Oryzias latipes: one gene and its partners. The main gene of each other region encodes a partner of the protein of the gene in region 2 in a complex. Links are inferred from orthologs where the notes say so. Each region holds a gene or a part of one and is shown on either strand. Other genes may lie near its edges. The genes, in order: pak1, dab2ip, dcp1a, arhgef6 and map3k5.

Evidence for each region.
Region 1: dab2ip (region 2) and pak1 share a complex: the UniProt entries of both Homo sapiens proteins name them as parts of the cytoplasmic complex. The link is inferred for Oryzias latipes from reciprocal best matches to the Homo sapiens genes DAB2IP and PAK1.
Region 3: dab2ip (region 2) and dcp1a share a complex: the UniProt entries of both Homo sapiens proteins name them as parts of the cytoplasmic complex. The link is inferred for Oryzias latipes from reciprocal best matches to the Homo sapiens genes DAB2IP and DCP1A.
Region 4: dab2ip (region 2) and arhgef6 share a complex: the UniProt entries of both Homo sapiens proteins name them as parts of the cytoplasmic complex. The link is inferred for Oryzias latipes from reciprocal best matches to the Homo sapiens genes DAB2IP and ARHGEF6.
Region 5: dab2ip (region 2) and map3k5 share a complex: the UniProt entries of both Homo sapiens proteins name them as parts of the cytoplasmic complex. The link is inferred for Oryzias latipes from reciprocal best matches to the Homo sapiens genes DAB2IP and MAP3K5.

The regions. Positions count from the first base shown.
Region 1 is NC_019871.2:4,499,029-4,503,021, forward strand, and holds the start of pak1 (serine/threonine-protein kinase PAK 1), read left to right. Parts: upstream 1-1,188; 5' UTR 1,189-1,385; intron 1,386-3,993. UniProt on the Homo sapiens protein: Protein kinase involved in intracellular signaling pathways downstream of integrins and receptor-type kinases that plays an important role in cytoskeleton dynamics, in cell adhesion, migration, proliferation, apoptosis, mitosis, and in vesicle-mediated transport processes.
Region 2 is NC_019870.2:6,391,309-6,394,822, reverse strand, and holds part of dab2ip (disabled homolog 2-interacting protein), read left to right. Parts: intron 1-1,902; coding exon 1,903-2,047; exon of another isoform or gene 2,048-2,118; intron 2,119-3,252; coding exon 3,253-3,489; intron 3,490-3,514. UniProt on the Homo sapiens protein: Functions as a scaffold protein implicated in the regulation of a large spectrum of both general and specialized signaling pathways.
Region 3 is NC_019865.2:7,301,749-7,306,045, forward strand, and holds the start of dcp1a (mRNA-decapping enzyme 1A), read left to right. Parts: upstream 1-1,488; 5' UTR 1,489-1,527; coding exon 1,528-1,659; intron 1,660-1,953; coding exon 1,954-1,994; intron 1,995-2,481; coding exon 2,482-2,609; intron 2,610-4,297. UniProt on the Homo sapiens protein: Necessary for the degradation of mRNAs, both in normal mRNA turnover and in nonsense-mediated mRNA decay. Removes the 7-methyl guanine cap structure from mRNA molecules, yielding a 5'-phosphorylated mRNA fragment and 7m-GDP.
Region 4 is NC_019868.2:11,013,379-11,016,892, forward strand, and holds part of arhgef6 (rho guanine nucleotide exchange factor 6), read left to right. Parts: coding exon 1-20; intron 21-2,557; coding exon 2,558-2,680; intron 2,681-3,514. UniProt on the Homo sapiens protein: Acts as a RAC1 guanine nucleotide exchange factor (GEF).
Region 5 is NC_019882.2:18,794,204-18,798,165, reverse strand, and holds the start of map3k5 (mitogen-activated protein kinase kinase kinase 5), read left to right. Parts: upstream 1-1,152; 5' UTR 1,153-1,505; coding exon 1,506-1,875; intron 1,876-3,219; exon of another isoform or gene 3,220-3,546; intron 3,547-3,869; exon of another isoform or gene 3,870-3,962. UniProt on the Homo sapiens protein: Serine/threonine kinase which acts as an essential component of the MAP kinase signal transduction pathway. Plays an important role in the cascades of cellular responses evoked by changes in the environment.

The DNA of each region.
Region 1 (3,993 bases), on a different chromosome or scaffold from region 2:
TGGAACTAAACTAATTTATTTTTTAAAAAACTGGGATTTTTGCATCAAAACAGTCACTTGTCAAATACACTTAATGTTGATAAAATCAAAGTTTGAATTGGCGGTTTTAAATTGGTTAAAAACGACATAGTCATCACAGAAAAAAAAAAAACATGTATAGGATGACATGTAACCTAAAAGTCATTATAATAAAGCTCTGTCTGATTTTTTTCTTTCTATTTTTTTGTGTAGCACTTTGAGTCAAACGTGGAAGTTAATTGAAGATTTTAAAATAAATGCAATTGAAATCAACAAAATATGACCTCCCTTTATGTTATAGAAGAATAGAACAAAACCTTATTGATTCCACAAAAGGGGATATTACATACAAAGATCAATTACCAACAAGTAGTACTTGTATAAAAAGCTCAAGGCTTTCTAAGAGTACAACAAAGTACACATCTGTAACAGAAGACATTTACAAAAGTGGCAAACTTAGCAATCCTCACCTTGGTTAAAACGTTGAACAAGGTTTCATTGGTCCACTTGACGGAATCAATGTCAAGAATCCAAATGTTTAGATAGGCATTCAAAACCTGAAATTGCATTAAAATGTTAATGAAATGTATTTTACATACATTATATACATTATTTTTACTTGGAATATAAACTCAATTTATTGAATGTACACATTTGTTACTTTCTATAGGAAAAAAGGATTGTTTTCTGTTCTTTAATGTTTTTTTGAGAGAAATGTTCACTCCTCACCTTACGGACGAGCAATTTCATTAAAAAATTATGTCATCTGAGTTTTAAAAATTATATCTGTTTCTTTCTTATTGACTTAATAATCTAAAATAAATTATTTTAAAGGAGAGTTCTCTCTCACTGTGAAGCTCATCTAAATAACGACGTCACCGCTGTGTGTTTGAAATATCCTTTTTTTCTGTAGTTAATATTTCCATAACATGGTTACATGAAGGCAACACGCAGGGACAACCCATACGTGAGTGTCTACAAATGCGCACTTTTTATTTGTTACGTGAATGCAGCATAGGTCGTTCGGTTTTGCCGGCGAGTCGGGACCCGCCCCGAGAGTTTAGACGGACATCTTTGTCAGCCAATAGAAATGAGGCAGTGTGGACGACCAACCAATGGCGTGGCCGAACGCTCCGGTGAGGAGGCGGGACTTTGTATGCAGCAGACTTCTCTGCGCTTGGCTAACAATAGCCTGGGCTCGGCAAGTTTTATAGCTAAAAAAAAAATCAGGCGAGGGCGGCAGAGCGGAGCAGGTCTGAGCCTCCGGAGGAGCAGGACTTTTCGGAATACATGAGACGCTGTGAGCCGGCGGAGGAAAAACACTCAAACCGACAGCAACGACATTTGAATTTGCTGTCAGACATTTGGTGAGCGGAGCTTTTTTTCCCTACTTTATTTCAGCAGGTTTTCCCAGCTGATGGGCTGCGTTGCCGGCCAGCATGGTGGTGCGCTGCGTGTGTGGATGAAGGAGGGAGCTGGTGGGAAATGTGCTGGAAAGACGCTGTTATCTTTGTTTCCCCCTCAACATAACCCCCATCAACGTGCGCTGCTTGGTGGACTTTTATAGTCAGGATTTTCCAGCCATAGGCGTTGGCGGGTTGATTATTATTTTATTAAACCAGCTGCTTCCCAAATGACTGGACGACGTGGGAAATGATAGCAGCACAGCAGGCAGAATGAATGAAGATCTGCCACTTTTCTCTCAGGGAATTGAACCTGTTTACCAGTTCATACATGCATTTAAGAAAAAAAGTGTCTCAATTTTCTTTTCTTTATTTGCATTTTAATCTTACTTTAGCTGCTCAGCACAGAAATCTACTAAATGTTTGGTCAAAGTTGATGCATCAAACCCCCTTATAGCTGTTTTCCCATCACCTGCAGTACAATCATTGATTTCTGTAAACGTGACTTTTCTGATTAGAGCCCTGCAAGCTGCTAGAAACGCTCAGAAGCTGGAGTTTCCACGTGGATCAGCAGAAACCGCTGCACTGTTCTTCATCCTGAGGTTTTCAGCTGCGTCCACCAACAGCTTATGCCAAAGCAATCTATGTGGATATGAGTGCAGCTCTACTTTGCCGTATTCAAGTCAAGTCCCCCCTCCCATCATCTGTTCAGCTATTTTCAAAGCATTCCCAACAGTTAAAAAAAACCCTCATGATTGTGATATTTTTAGCAAAAAAACCCAACAAAAAACAAAACTTGTGTCGCCTAAAACCCCGCCCACCCTTCCCATCACTGAGAGCTCTCTGTTTATTTCTCTTTTTGTGTTTGCTGTGGTTGAGTGGTCCAAATCCCATGTTAGTGAAGATTCATAGTAACTTCATGGAACAAAACAAAAAAGACACCAAAACTTAAGTTACATAATTATTTTTTTTTATCGTATTCCTGAAAATGGGGAAAACATAATGACTTTTTACACAACAAACCACTTTACTGTATTAAAAAAAGTGTTTTTTGTAATAATATTAAACATCAGCCATGTGCATAAATGCAAATCTCTTCCAACTTTTATGTCCTAATTTTTTTGTAGACTAAAATAGACATTTATGGAAGCGGTTACCATGGAAACCTGGGTGTGGCAAAAGGAGAGGCTCATTGGCTTGCATGGGGAATGCCCTCCCCTCCATTTGTCACTTTGACACCTTGTGACAGCAGGACAGAGGGCGGCGAAGGCGGGCGGGGGTTAATGACCCATTTGGCCCCTGCGGTTTCGGCCGGGCGTCTCTCCACGGAGGCCAGGACGGTGGAGTTCACGTGGACGCGGCCGCGCGCACGTGTGTTTTCCGCGTCTGCTGCGTCTCACCTGTTATGGAAGTTATTTTTAACCACGGGGCAGTTTGTTTGGGATCTGAGTCGTGTAGAGATGTGGACCAACAAAACGGGTTGCCATGGATACGGCAAGAGTGAAAGATGCAATGTGACTTTTTTTTTTTTTTTGGAGTTGTCTAATGAAAAGAAGATAGAAGGACTTTACCTACTTACTCGTAAACATTTGTTTTATGGAATACAGTGAAATGTGCAATGAGCCACTCTCGTCTCAGAAATTAAGAAACGGACGCTGTAAATACTATTTGGAATGTTCTCCTGTTCTACGAAACAAAAATTCACTAATGTCAGCAAGTGGAGGCGGCAAGCCCGCCCCCTCTCCCCCTCTCTGTTGCTGAGGACTTGAAGCAGGGAGTTTGTGGCGCCCCCAGCGTGATTTTTCTACATCACAAATACTCAGAAATGCAATTTTTAAGCCTAATGTACTTTATCAATACGCTCTATTGTCCAAAAAAGTACCTCAAGAACATGTTAAAAGCACAATTTTTGATCGTAGTGGGTCTTTAAAAGAAAAAGGACACTAAAGCTAGTTTGGAGGGTTAGTACGCTAAACGAAACGTCGCTCCAGCTTGGAGCTTTTAAGGTGCAGGTAGTGAGGTTGGATTCCTGACACATAGGCTTCTCTGTTTTCAGTCTCATGATTCCCCAAGAGCTACAGCCAGATGATGACTAATCAAACACAGAGTCGTCGGTGTTTGTGGAGTCACCACGCTGCTCCGGCTGCTTTAAAGACCTCTGAATACCAGAAACCGTGAAATCAAATCTTCCCCATCGCAGATATTTGTCTTTGCCGGGTGGGCGTTCAAACACCACACTGGCATGAATAGAGAGACTGGCAGTTGAGCGGCCGAAAAGGCTGCCAGCAGCTGAATAATGGATAGACTGTTTGCCTGCAAGGCTGCGGCGGCGGCTGAGCTGCACGGCGTCTAGACCAACCCCGACTCCGGCTCTCTGAAACAAGCTGTCTGGCTGGATGGGGATGAAAGGCGCGACTCCGTTTTTAAGCTTGTAATCCACTTTACTGATGTGACGTCAGATAAAAGGAGAAGTTAGGAAGCGCTTTGGAGCGCGGCACCAAAAAGATAGGCCAGATAGTTTTGGTTTGATCTCGGGTGGCGCTGAAGTTCTGCATAAGGAGGTAGAGGAGGA
Region 2 (3,514 bases):
CGCACTGCACGGTCTTTTAGAGGTTTGGGCAGCGGCGGCACAACTCTTTGTCTCACGGGCCTCAAAGAGTTCTAAAATTTGACAAAAGGGCTCGACCAAAAGCAGATCAGAGAAAGAAATGACATGGAATCTGAACGAAAATGTGCTTTTATTGTGATTGAAAATAAATGTATATATTTTAAAACAGCACATTTTAGGGGTTTTATTTCCAAACTGTGGCTTTTGTTCTTATTTTAGTGCCAATTACAGTTATAGGTTGATGTCCATCAGGGAAAAATGCAACGTTGGAGAAATGCTGCGTTCATGAAATAATTGAAAAAAATGAAGGTCCGACATGAACATTAAAAAAAAAACAGGAAATCTTTCAACACACTATAAATTTAGAAGAACTTTCTTACGGAAGAGGATTAGACCCATGGAGAAGAAAAAAAATTCTCTATGGCCCTAATCCATATAAAAATGCTGACTTTTTTCTCAGAATTCTGAGATTTAAGTCAGATTTTTCTATGCCCTGTTTTTTTTTCTTTCTCCATGGCCTTAATCCCCTTCCGCACTTTCTGCACCTAAGCAAAGGTCGGATTTATTGGTGGCGCACCGTCTATGGGGACACACCAGAAAATAAAACATTGATGAGTGTTATCAATATGATTTATTCCAGTTTGGAATAATAATCCAGATTAAATAGTTTTTGGGCCACAAACGGCCCCTGGGCCATGACGCTGTGTAAACATTGTATGCTAACACATTTTGGGTAGCGGCAACTAACAGCACTCAAAAAAAGAAAAAGAAAAAAGAAATAAAAAAAGAATAAAAACCAGTAGCCAGATTTGACCCTGTGGGTTTTTCAGGGTAAAAGTGAGATTTTAGCAGCTGCAGAATGATCCGTTTTAGCTGTGAACTCAATTCTTTAGCAACATTTTCTGCTTTTGTCTTTGCTGTCACTCTGTTTGTTTACCTTCTTCTGATAATGACACGATGAATAATCTACACAGCAGCTAAAATCTTCTTCAATTTAAGGCGGCTTTAGGTTTCCTCCTGCCATTCAACAGGAGTTTTGAAGAAATATGGTTCTAGAGAGGAAATTAGAACTTTCCGCACAGTTTGTCTTTTTTGTTTTTTAAAGAAAGGTTGTAACTGTTGACGTGTCAAAAAAGTAAAGACATTTTATCTGTTTTCCTCAGAGAAGCGGAACGTTTCTCAAGTTGAAGAAGATGCCTCAGGCTGTCGACTAAAAGGCAGCCTGCCTGTTAGAGGAGAGAAAAACCCTTGGCTCTTTGATACTCTATATGTTAAACAAATAAAAAAGAGATTCTGACCGCTTCAAAAACAAAGATGGTGTGATCATCTTAGACACTGTTTTAGTATTTCAAAGTGTTAAACACTAAAAAATATTGCTTTGGTTTATCTCTTCTGTATGACACAGAAATATGAAGCTGACTTTTCTCATTTTTAACCCACATAATAACCTTTTTTTGAAGTGTAACTTGATTATCAGATAATTAAAATAAGTTTAATGTGTAAAGATTTCACCCCAGCTCAACCTTGTTCAGAACTATAGTCTATTATTCAGTTTCTAAATAAAGATAGCTGCTTTAAAAAGCACTCAGTACTTTTTTTTTGTCTCTGCTGCAAGCTTGACTGCGCAGTTCTCGGTGCATGCAGACCTCAGCATTAATGTAACAAAACATTGTTTAAAGGTAAACAACTTAAATAATGACATTTCTGCTCTTTGGACAGACATTTCTCCTTTAGATTAGATCAGCCTGATTTCCTTCACGGGTCACAGAGGTCCACTTGTTGTCACTTCATGACTTTCATTCACCTTCATTGGTACTTCTCCGACAAATGAACAAAGCACTTTTGTTTTGCTTTTATTATTGTCTTTATTTTTATTTTCCTCAGGTGAGTTCATTAAAGCTCTGTACGAGTCGGATGAGAACTGTGAGGTGGATCCTTCCAAGTGTTCCTCCAGTGACCTGCCGGATCATCAGAGCAACCTGAAGATGTGCTGCGAGCTGGCCTTCTGCAAAATCATCAAGTCCTACTGGTGAATGCTGCCGCCTGTTCGTGACGTGCTGGTTCTGATCTGTCTGCTCAGGCACATTTTTACTCAGGACTCTGTGTGAATTCAGATAAAAACTCTTTTAAAAACACACTTAAACTCCATGACTGGCTCTTGTACGTCTAAAAAAAACAGGATTTCTGTTTACTTGCAAATGAACCCTGGTGTGAGTGCAGACAGTTGTCCAAACAAACGCCCGTATCCCACCCGCTTCACCCACTACACCCTTACTTTCCCTTGAGTGTTGTATAAGTGACAACCTGTCCCCTGGCTGCTTCCCCATTGGGAAAAAAAATTCAGTTACATTTTTGTTCTACTGGCGGTCCACGACCTGTGTGCCCCGTACAGTTTTACACAGTTTTCACCCACAAACAGTCCATAACATAACAAACAATTTGCCACTAGATACAACAACCATCCACACATCCCTGAATTTCTATTATACTTGTACGGCTGGTTATAACTTCGTTAAGGCCCAAAGCCCTGATTCATCCAGGCACACACACACACACATTCACACACTGATGGCAGGAGGATTTCCATGCAAGGTGCTAACCAAGAGCACCATGGGACACTATCACACAGCACGCCCGTAGGAATAATTGTGCATGAACATGTTTGCTCTACGGGCTCACCCGCAGGTTGACAACCTTGCAATTTTTTTGCCTTTACAGATTTATCCATTTTTGCCCACAGACAGCCCGTATCCACCTGTAAGGGCAGTTGTGACGAAAGCTTAAGCAGATGAAGCAGAAGTTCAATGTGTGATACTCTGGCTGTTATTGGCCACTTTTTTGGGCTTTTTTTTTTTCTTTTTGCTCCGATTGTTTATAGACAATCAATACTGCCCCCAAATGGCCACCTGTTATAAATTTGTCAACATTTATGTGGTTTGGTAGATTTACTGTGAAAGTATGAAAGTATTTTTGGATTTCTCACTCGATCACTGTAAATCAAGTCTACGGGATTGTCCTGATGTGAAAGCACCACTAAAGTGGTTCATATCAGAGGTTTTTCCTGTGTTTACGGTATAATTTTGTGTTTTACTTTTTTTCTTTTTCTGAGATTGACTGAAGTTTATGTAAGATAAATTGTTGCTAAAGTTAAAGACAGATTTCCCAACCATTTCAGACCAATAACAAATGACCAAAGAGATCAAATAAAGGCCTTACTTTTTTTTTTTTTTCCAGCTTTTTTCCCCGTGAATTAAAGGAGGTTTTTGCGTCATGGCGGCAGGAATGTAGCAGCCGCGGTCGGCCGGACATCAGCGAGCGTCTGATCAGCGCCTCCTTGTTCCTGCGCTTCCTCTGTCCGGCCATCATGTCGCCCTCGCTCTTTAACTTGACGCAGGAGTACCCTGACGACCGCACCGCTCGGACACTCACGCTCATCGCCAAAGTCACGCAGAACTTGGCCAACTTCACAAAGTGAGTTGGGTTTCATAGCGGTGAG
Region 3 (4,297 bases), on a different chromosome or scaffold from region 2:
AAGTGTTTCTATATTTATGTCACAGAAAGAACAGTTATTTTCTGGAAAACCAAAATGTATACGTAGTAGTTCTTTGCACGGATAGACTGCATTCTTACATCAAAATCACATTTTAGGAGGAATTCAATGCCCCCCAGATGGGAGAAAAAGTTTGAAGGAATATGAAACAAAATATTTATTTCATTTTGCAGAAAAGCCCTAAGCCAATTTATTTTAATCATACTATTCAAACTTTCAAAGTCTATGGCTTTAAATCCACCTTCACTGTAATCCTGAATTATTATTCATTTTTTATGTAATGAGTTTTGTTTTTCCAGATGAAGTTAAAATTGCCCTGGTTTCTTGTTTTCCTTGCAGATTTAGGAATTGGGAGTGAATATGCTGGATAAATGAATCTGGATAAACAATCTAATTTAGTGAGAAACATTCTGCCCAGAATAGAAATGTCACGCTGTGACCACATGTTTAAATTTACTTACAATTCACACTTGCTGAGATTTAGTTTTAAACCAGTTGCTTTAGAATAGGAATCTGCGGTTTGAAAGATCTCCGGTATTTGATGACTCTCCTTCATGAATACGGCCGTGTCGTCTGCCAGCTTAGTAATGGCTAACTGTTCTCCCAGGACATTGAGTTTACAGAAACCAGAGTTTGTTATAAGTATTGATAACATTTCTGTTGCTGTTATAAAAAGCAACGGTGAAAATTGGACAGCCTTGTTTAATTCTTTTGTTAATTAAAAATCTGGGAGAAATGCCATTCGGTGAAATAACTACACTGTTCGTATCGTTATAGATTGTTTTAACAAAACTTATGAAATTAGGTCCAAATCAAAATAATTCTAACTAAAACGTTTATCCAGAACAGATTTAAATTAAACATTGAGACACTTTGTAGCTTTGGTTGTGATTCCCCTGAAACAGTTATCCATCTTTTTTGGTATTGTCCCAAAGTTAAGGTGTTTTGGCAGAAGATGTGTGATTTTATTAATGATAAAATTGATTCTTGTTTTGTCTTGTTTTGGAAAGATGTCTTGTTGGGTCTAATATAAAAAAATATGCAAAAGGACTCTTGTTTACTTCTAAATCTTTTACTCATTTTGGCAAAATTCCATGTTCATAAATGTACATTTTCAGGTAGAAAACCCTGTTTCACTGTATTCTTTTCTAAATTAAATCAGTATATCAACAGTATTCGAAATTCAGAGAAGCAAAAAGCAATCAGAACATTGTCTGTATGTGATAGATTCAGTATTTTTTCGTAGAGTTTAACCCCCTGGCTTATAACTATTTCTAGTCTTGTTCTTCTGTTTGTTACAGAAGTGTATTTGATATTTGCAGTTGTGGTTTTTTTTTCATACCTAAAAGTACATTTTTGTAAAATGGCATAATGTGCAATAAAGTTGAGCTTTAAAAAAAAATAGTGGAAGTGGGGAACTATTTTTGAGCGCCGCCACTTCCGGGGACAAGCGAAGTTGAAAGTGTTTCAAAAAAATTCGTCCGTGTAGGTACAACAGACCGATCCAAGATGGAAACTGTAAGTGCGGGACATATGATGAGCTTAGCAGCTCTTCAAAGACAAGACCCCTATATAAACAAATTACTAGATGTAACTGGTCAAGTTGCACTTTACAACTTTAATTCTAAAGTAAACGAGTGGGTAAGTTCATTAGTTACTTTATGATTTTCTGTGATTCGAATGAGGCTTTATCATCATGTTTACTTAGCTCATGGTGCTAGCCCTCGTTAATCAAAACGCGACAGTAGCACTATGTTCACTAAAGCTTTACCGTACGTGGACCTTTATGCTTCGTTATTTTAGCTAATGCTATTTCTAGTCCTTTCAATTTTTGTATTTTTAAATGTATTTCCTTTAGTTAAACTATTGTTCACAGATTCGGCAGCACCTTTTCAGAACATGTTTTGACTTGTAATGTTATTTTAAACATTTTAGGAGAAGACCGACATCGAAGGCACTCTGTTTGTTTATGCCAGGTAAGATTAGCACTTGAACTCGTAATTTGATTGTTTACTTCATCATTGGGTGCTCTGCGCATGTGCACAGGCCACCGTAGGCGTATTTGTAAACAAATCGAGAAAACTTGCCCCAGCCTAGATTTTTATGTTTACAGTACAAAAAATGAATTTTGCTCATCAAACAATTTGCCAAGAAAACTGTACATTTATGATTTAATATAACTGACTTTTTTTTGCCTCAGAAATTTTTAAATCAAGTCATGTGCATTTATTTTCTGTCTTTTTTAGAAAATCATTAGGAAAATTAACAATAAAACTTGTTTTTAAAAATTGCCAGATTATATTTACCTTTAAACAAAGAATTGTAAAAACTAGAAATGTTTTTATCAATTTTGAAATATCCAACATTTCACTGTCATAAAAGTTTTTTTCAAGTGTTTTTTAATTGCTTTGTCAACAGTAAACAATGAAGCATTATCAACAGAGTGATGTTTGTTCCTTTTAGGTCTGCTTCTCCTTATCATGGCTTCACCATCATGAACAGATTAAGTACAGTCAACCTTGTGGAGCCTATTAACAAAGACCTGGAATTCCAACTGCAGGATCCTTTCTTGCTCTACAAGAATGGCAACTGTAAGTGGTTTGAATAAAAATCCTCATCAAAGTATGGAAGAGTTGTAATCATTAATTTAATTCAAAAGTGCTTTATAATGATGTTCTATTTAAGTAGATTTCAAGGAATAGTGATCTTTTGAAGCTACAAGGTATTCATTAAAACCAGGATGAGGCTGCCCACATGATTATAGAGTGAAACGTCTTGAGTTGAGATGAAGACATGCTGATTTAATGCTTAGATCACATTTTTTGTTGAAAATAGGAAGTCGTAAAAATTTCTGACCACATTGTCGATACAAAATTAGAATAAAGCACAATTCACTGAGTAATCCAGGACATTTTTGCCAAAGTAAAATGGAAATTTTCAAGTTAACTCTTGTTTTTTAAATACGCCGTTTTATTTGCAGCTTTTTTGTCCATTTCCTTTATTCTTTGTGAACCCACCTTAATGTATAAGTCATTGTAGTGCACCGCGGATTCACAAACTGTCAAAAGTGGCTGTCATACCTAGTTTGTGAACAATCTATTGTTCACAAATGCTCAAATAATTCTGACAGTACCTCTGAACATTCTGGATAAACACCTCCCCAGTGTTCGGTGGAACATCTCTTCTCCTTTTTGCTTGAACTCATGGTGACTTCTTGAAGCATTAAGCAGGAACACTTTGTCATTCATGGCCTACAGCGGCCTCGTAAACAAGCGCTTCCAGCTGGTTTTGCAACAGTTATCCTTCGCATTTGGGTCAAAAAGCAAAAAGAGTTCAAAGTTTCATTCATCAAACTTCTTCTGCTATAATTGTTTTAGTTTGCTGATTGTTCAATCCTGTAATTTCCTCCTGGAAAAATGGGTCAAATAGAAAAAAATTGCGCCATACTAGATCTTCAAAAAGTAGCTGACAGCACTTCCACCAAGATAATCAATGAGGAGTCTGAGCAGAAGTTTCATCAAAGCGATGAACAAAGAATTCGACTGCTTTCCCATTTGTTTGCTGATGAGAAAAGTTAGCATAGCCAAGGTTAAAGTCAAAGTGGATTGTTCTCCTTTGGGCTTTGGTTTTCCCAGCAGCCTGGCAGGTATGGAAGCCATGATGCAGTGTTTTGTTGGTGATCCAATATAGTCTGCTTCTCCAGTAGCTTCACTCAAGTCTTCGGGGCTTTTGTCATCGCTTACTTCCTTTCTGTCAGCTTTAGTTTCAAAAAGATAAAATGAAGAGCAGTTTTCTCAGGAAACATTAGCTGATAATGCTCCTTGAGTTGAGGTGAAGATACATCCGTCTTGGCAACTAAGCTTTTCTCTGCAAACGTTAGTCGAAGTGGTTTTTTTTTGTTTGTTTGTTTTTCCGTCGGTTGGTTTTCAGTCCCGTCTCACTCTGTTAGTTTATCCACTTGTTTGGAGAGAAAAATGTTTCTGCGCTTTTTCTCCTTTAGTGTAGGTTTGGCTTTGAAGGTGGAGATTCCAATTCTGATCTTGAAAGTCCTGCAAAAGAACAACCCACCCTCTGAAGGAGAAATGTCACCATCAAAAACGATCAGGATCCAAATATAATTCTCCAAATAAAGGGTTTAAATGTTTACGTTTCGCTCCTGTGAGTGGTGCAGAGCTCACTGCAAATGTGCTTGGATGTGGAGAATAGTGTTGCAGAGAAACACTTGGACACACCTGTTTACACCTCATCCTTTTCCCTTTGGACGCTGATGGTGCTGCAG
Region 4 (3,514 bases), on a different chromosome or scaffold from region 2:
GCTTTAGACGATTGTACAAAGTAAGTCATGTAGAAAAGAGCATATGAAATTAACAAATATTCTAGATTTGCATGAACTGCTGCAAAGGGTTGGGTATCACATGATTTCATTAAAAAAATGCCTGGTTAGATTTATTTATTGATTTTGATTCAATATTGATTTCTTTTTCAAAATTCCATTCAAAATATTACTAACAGTATTAATTCTTGCATTTAATGCTAACAGAAAGCAGTTCTTTTTGTTTAAAGACAATGGATTCATAGATTTGATGATTCAGTGAAGCTTTTTTAATTCAGGAGCTGATTGCTTTAGCAGAATGGGCAGGTGCAAAGACTGGAAAATAACAATAATTTCCATAAAGCAGGTCAGGAGGGAGAACCATAAAGTACTCCTAAACTTCCTTGTAGGTGACTGCATTAACTGTGAGCCTGATAAAATACAGTGCGTCCAGATTGTATATAAGGGTCAAAAATGTCATTCTTTGTTTTTTAATTACACTCATGGATTATATTATGTCCTGGGGCTCTTTGGATCACTGACATCAATGCCAGACACCTGTGATAATTAGTTTGCAAGGTGAGTTCAATTAAAGGAAAAACTACTAAATAAGGATGTTCCACATTATTAAGTAGACTGACATTTTCAATAAATATAGGAAAGAAAAAGGATCTCTGCTGCTGAAAAGCCTGAAATAGTTAAGTGCCTTAGACGAGGTATGAAGACTGAAGCGTGATCATCGTAATATTAGATTTGTGGCTGATTCGGAGCACAGAGGGGTTTGTAGAGATAAAGGCAGGATGATGACGCTTTCTGCCACACAAATGCATCCAATCAAGAGAGCACCTTCTAAAATATCATTACAAAACAGCAGCGATATATTTGAAGCTGCTGGTGTCTCTGGAGTCCCACAAACATCAGGGTGTAGGATCCTTCAGAGGCTTGTATTTAGATGTCAACCTTCTGATTGGCCACCCCATAAATAACACTAACAAGCGGAAATGGCTGCAGTGGTTAAAGACATACACGAAGAACAATTTTCAAACAGTCTTGTTCACTGATGAGTGCCATGCAACCCTGAATGGTCCAGATGGATGGAGTATTGGGTTGTTAGTATATGGCCACAATGTCCCAACAAGTCTGCATTGTCAGCAATAAAGTGGCAGAGTCATGTTTTGGGCTGGAATCATGTGGAGAGAGTTGGCCGGATCCTTTAGGGTCCCTGAAGGTTTGAAAATAACCTCTGAAGAGTAGGTGGAGGTTCTGACTGACCACCTTCTTCTGTGGTACAAAAAAAAGAACAGTGCTTTTCATAACAAAATCATCTTCACACATGATAATGCACCATCTCATGCTGCAATGAATACATCAGCATCATTGGCTGCTACTGAAAGAATAGGAGATGAACTGGTTGTGTGGCCCCCATCTTCCCCTGACCCCAACCCTATTGAGAACCTATGGAGCATCCTCAAGCAAACTATCTATGAGGGTGGGAGGCAGTTCACATCCAGACAGCAGCTCTGGGAGGCTATTCTGACATCCTGCAAAGAAATTCAAGCAGAAACTCTCCAAAAACTCACAAGTTCAATGGATGCAAGAATTGGGAAGATGCTACAAGATAAGGGGTCCTATGTTCAAATGTAACTTGACCTATTAAGATGTTTTTGATTGGAATAGCTTTTGGTTTAAGTAAATATGATTTCGTAATGCAAAAAATTCAACAAATTACCATTTTCAATTCTTTTGAATCTATCAAACGTTATGGAACTGTTGTGCGTAATAATGTGGAACAGTGCATTGAAAGAAACAAATACTGTTATCTTTAGGTTTGTTCAAAAACATTTAATATATACTCTAATGGTTAGTGACTTGAAAATTATGCTGATTCTCATTTGCATTGATAATTAAGAAAGATCCTAAAAAAATCCCATTTGAGTAATAATTTGGAACACACTGTACAGTTAATGGAGCAGCAGCAGTAGATGACAAGTATCATTCGAACATGGCTGACTGAGGAAACACTAAACCTCAGGAAAATTCTGTGCCCCTCTGCTGCTCTTCCAAATGATGGCTTTGGAATCCCAAGGAATGGTTTTGTTTCCTTTTCTCTTGAATTGAGGGATAAATCCTCGGTCTGTGGTTCATGAGTGGTTTGACGTGAGGACTGCAGCAGCTTAAGTCCATGTTGTGATGTACGTGTCCGTTGTGGCTCTCAAAGATCTAACAGCAGTCCAGTCCTCATGGAACTCACTGATCTACTGAATGAGCTTCATATTTATGTCAGGTTGTCCTTCCATTTAACTTCCCATTAATGTTTTTGGATAGGGCTCTCAGTGAACAGCCAGCTTCTTTTTGGTCTTACACCCCCTCATTTCCAAGTAACATTTTAGAGCCCAGGATTGTGTTTTGTTGATCCAGACAGACCCTTTTCAGGACAGGAAAGAAGTACTAGTATTTCAAACAAGTAAATTGATAGCATGACAGAATGTCGTTTTATGTTGTTTCCCAACCCTTTAATATTTCTCTACCTTGCCTTCTCGCCTTTTCTCTCAATGTGCAGAGTCCCAGAGGGGCAGCAGAGGGTGGCAGCCTGCTATTTGAACCTCATGCCTCAAATCAAGAACCTTTACCTAACCTACTGCTCCAGCCATCCCTCAGCTGTCTGCATCCTGACAGACCACAGGTAAGAACAAGACCCCCCATGAGGTCAGGTGACTTCACCTGGAAGAGACGTTTTCTGACGTTCAAATTTGCATCTGTAGTACTAGATTTTTGATTACTAAATCACATGTCTTAAATGAGATTGACTGGTTTTTGATCAATTAACAATTAACAAAAGTGTGTAAAATGTTCCAATAAACCTAATTAAAAGAATAAACTCAAGCAGTTTATAACATTCCAGTATTCCTTTTGTTAAAGGTGTTTAATCTTATTGATGTTTGAGGTTTGTAAGAACTAATTGTTGTCGTCTTGCCAGCCTGTAGTAACACTTCAGTTCACAAGGTGTCAGAGTGATGCTTTGTTGACATATTTCACGCTAAAGTTAGTTTATGCAGGTTCAGGACGTGAATAAAGTTTCCTTCAAATCCCTTCTCACTATTCTTAATGTTGATGTGAGTTTAGCTGTCAATACTGTGGGGAAAAAGATTCATATCAGTAATATTAGTGGAGCTGGTATGACGATTTTTAGCAATGTAGAGAATAATTGTCTGGGTCCTCATGCACACTCTTCAGAATGCACACAGGAAGTTGACTGTTGACAGGATATATAAAGTTGTGGTTATGTTAACAAGCAAAGCGAGGCTTTCTTTCACAGCGAGCGCGTCGCGTTTCAGTCGTAGCGTCCTTGTCATGTCACTTGTAATTTACCCAGTGCTGCCACGCCGCGTTGCTGCAGCATTCTGTTTGGTCGAAGCTGTGAGTTGTGGAAAAGCGTGCATGACACTGCTTTCAATGGAAGCTGGAGGAAAATTGTCATGTTATGTGAAATGATACGATTTCATGAGCAACTTAATAG
Region 5 (3,962 bases), on a different chromosome or scaffold from region 2:
GGATGGATGGATGGATGGATGGATGGATGGGTGGGTGGACAGGTGGATGGATGGATGGGTGGCTGGATGGATGGGTGGATGGATGGATGGGTGGGTGGACAGGTGGATGGATGGATGGGTGGGTGGACAGGTGGATGGATGGGTGGATGGATGGATGGATGGATGGATGGGTGGATGGATGGATGGGTGGCTGGATGGATGGATGGATGGGTGGACAGGTGGATGGATGGATGGATGGATGGGTGGATGGATGGGTGGATGGATGGGTGGGTGGGTGGATGGATGGGTGGATGGATGGATGGGTGGCTGGATGGATGGATGGATGGGTGGACAGGTGGATGGATGGATGGGTGGCTGGATGGATGGATGGGTGGATGGATGGATGGGTGGGTGGACAGGTGGATGGATGGATGGATGGATGGATGGATGGGTGGATGGATGGATGGGTGGGTGGACAGGTGGATGGATGGATGGATGGGTGGATGGATGGATGGATGGATGGGTGGATGGATGGATGGGTGGGTGGACAGGTGGATGGGTGGATGGATGGATGGATGGATGGATGGGTGGATGGATGGATGGATGGGTGGATGGATGGATGGATGGATGGGTGGACAGGTGGATGGATGGGTGGGTAGGTCTGTGGATGGATGGGTGGAATCCTCTTTTTTCTTTAATCTTCTAAAAGTTAAAGTGTCCTTAAGTGCTGAGAAACACTTTATTTATTGTTATTCCCTAAATGATTTGTCTGAAAGTTCAGTTTCTTTAAAGTTGGTTGGAGATGATTCTGCGCCTGCGCTCTCTGTCTGGGCACACGTGTAACAGCGGCATGTGTCCACGGGGAGGCGTAGTGACGCAAGAGACAAGTGGGGGCAGCAGGCGTGACTGAAGTGAAGTCTTGTTTGTTTTTGTGAATTCCTGAACCTGCTGGACCGGTCGGTTTCGTTAAACACGAACCTCCTGTCGAACCTGACGCCATCAAAGAGCGACGTGACCGCGGAGATCAAACAGCCACCGCTCTGTCACGTCTGACAGGTGATTGAATCTGAAGCGAGGAATTGGATTAAGTTTTGATGTGCGTCCATCAAACGTGACGTCCCCGCCCCGCGCAAACAAACAGAAGCGGTGTGGAGGGAGGTGCACGCGCATGGCAGTCGCGTCACTGCGGCTGCGCGCCTCACTTTTCCTTTTGACAGCTGACGGCGCCGCCGCGGGGCTTATCAGAGTTTGGCTCGCGCGCGCGGCTGCACTACTGTTGCACAACTTAGCAGAAGTGCTGCCCCCTCAAACGGCATGCGCGACTTCCGCGGCTCCTCCTCAAGCCGAACCCACCGGACTCCGCTGTGACTCGGCTGCAGGCGCGCGTGTTTCTGGCGATGCGAAGCCGCGCCTCTGCTTTCCGCCTGCAGACGGGCCGCCGCGCGAGCAGCCGCCGCGCGTAACGCCGGCGCTCCATGGAGGAGTCGCGGCGATCCGAGCTTTAAGAGCGCGAGACTGACACTGAAATGGAGCAGGACGGGATTTCCTTACCGGTGCCCTGCGTGGGCGCCGTCAGCGGGGAGGCGTCCGGCGGGATCCCCGCCGCCGGGACTTTCTGGCAGGACTCGCTGGTCCCGGGCGGCGAGCACAGCCCGACCCCCCGGGACTGCGCGGACGGCGGGGGCTTACTGTCCACCGGCAAGGCGGGCAAAAGCAGGCCGGTGACGGTGGCGTACGTGGTGAACGGGGAGGCGAGCCAGCAGAGCAACGCGGAGAACATGGCACTGCAGTGCCTGAAGGACGCCTGCGAGACGGCGGGCAGCAAACTGGACACCGTCAACTTCGGGAAGCTGGACTTTGGGGAGACCGCGGTGCTGGACCGGTTCTATAACGCAGGTGAGAGCATCCGCCAGTCCTGCTGGAGAAGTCTCACTGCCTCCCACACAAACAAACAAACATCAGCTGCCACTATGCAGGTGGGGGGGTCGCTTTCAGAACTCCTCTCTTTCTGCTGAGTCATGGTTTGGGCCATGAGGTTGAACTTTCCACTAACATTTTCTGTGACTCTCCGCCTGTGTCCACGCCGCCCTTCTAGTTCAGGAGGAGAAAGGAGCCCGTGTTTACATCCTTTTAAAGAACCGAGATGACGTCATTAAAAGTGAAGACTTCATGAACTCCATCCAGACTAGACAGAGGAAGAAATCAGTCAAATTAATCGATAAGTTTAATATTTTAAAGATGATTTTGAAGCAATTTTTTTAGAGAAAAAATTATGAAAGTGACTTTTTAGGAGATTAAAATTGTAAAAATAAATAAAACAACATTTAGATTTAATTAAAACTTTGATTTCACATTTTTAGTTGAAGGTAAATATTATTTTAGTGTAACTTTTTTATTAGTTAAAAAATTCTGCCTTTTTTCTATTTAAAAGTCAACTTTCTATTCATTGAAACCATTTAAAGTCCCTCTCTGATCATCTTTTGATCTAATGTCCAAGCATTTTAATCATGATGATGCAGTTTTTAGCCAAAATCCTAAAACCTGTGTCATTTCCTCGGACTGTTTGAGGCGTGTCATAGAAAATTCACCTCTGCATTGAGGGCGGGACTTTTGGGGCAGAGCCACCCCAGAACCTCTTACCCTTCCCGTTGCTGAGAGCTCTCTGTTTACATGCTCTCCCGCTATCCTACAGTCCCTCACCCCCCCAACATAACATTATCAGTGCAACAGGAAAGGTGAGCAATACTGGGACTACTGGAAAAACAACAACAACCAATTATGGCAACAACAGCAAATAGCAGATATTCATTCTATTATTGTTATGTATTTCGGCAATATGATTTGTCTCCAAGATGAAATGTCTTTTCTTGTTTTCCTGTTTTGTTGAATAACTTTCTCCCAAAAGTGCGACTTATATGTTTTTTTTCTTTATTCTGCAAACGCCACAATCCCCCCTTTTCATCGTAGTGGGTCTTAAAAAGCGCCTGAGCTTCGTGACAGCGCGGCGTCTTTTACTGGAGTTTGATGTTTTCCCTCAAAGAGAGTAAAAGATCAAACTCTGAAAACATTATTGCTGTACTGTAGTGCCTCTACCCCCTGATGTTTCTGTCAGCTTCCAGCATCGTGCTGCAAACACGCCTCTCTTGGATGAAAACTAATGTGGGGAAATTTGGGTAAAATCGCTTGATAATCCCTAAACAATGACATTACAAGAAATGTTGGTACAAAAAAAGGCAAGAGGACTGGAACAGTTTTGCTTTATTTGTTGTGCAAACACAAGACGTTCCCTGGATTTGGTCTTTTTTTTCTCAGAAATACCTTTGGATGTTCTCACAGTACACCAGGGAGAACTATGGTATTTTCCCAGAATACCATGTTGACTTGGGGCGCTCATCCTCTTCTTATGCAAGAGCAGCAGCAGACGTGGGAATAAAAACAAGGCCTCGGGAGTTCAGAGGCTGGAGGGCTCCTCTTGCTAGATTCAACCGGTGGCGGCGGCGGCTCCTGCTCGCCGCTCTCTGGCCTCATCACATGACCCTGACGGCTGCAGATCCACAAACATTTGTGCTGCTAGTAGCTAGAAATATTAATTAAAAAAATATATATATCATCACCATCCGCACAAACACGTCTTTAGAGACAAACTGCTGTGATTATTAGCATCTTTATTTATACACAACGTGGTTAAATTGTTGTTGATCTTTGAAAAATATGCTGCTAATGTGTACATTAGCGTTCTTCCAGTTGCATTCCATGCTGCTACTTCGTCTTTCCTCTAACCCCTTAACCCCCAGTTCTATTAAAACGTCTACGTAAACGCACATATATGCGTGTTTCAGGCTTCCAGATCCAAAAGAGAAATGAAACACATTTAAATTGATGTGAAGCACCTGAAATGTGTCTATCTTCAGTTGGAATCTCTCCCTCTGGGGCGGCTGCGGTTCAGCCACCGCTGCTCTGGATGGATGGGGGCCTGCATCGCC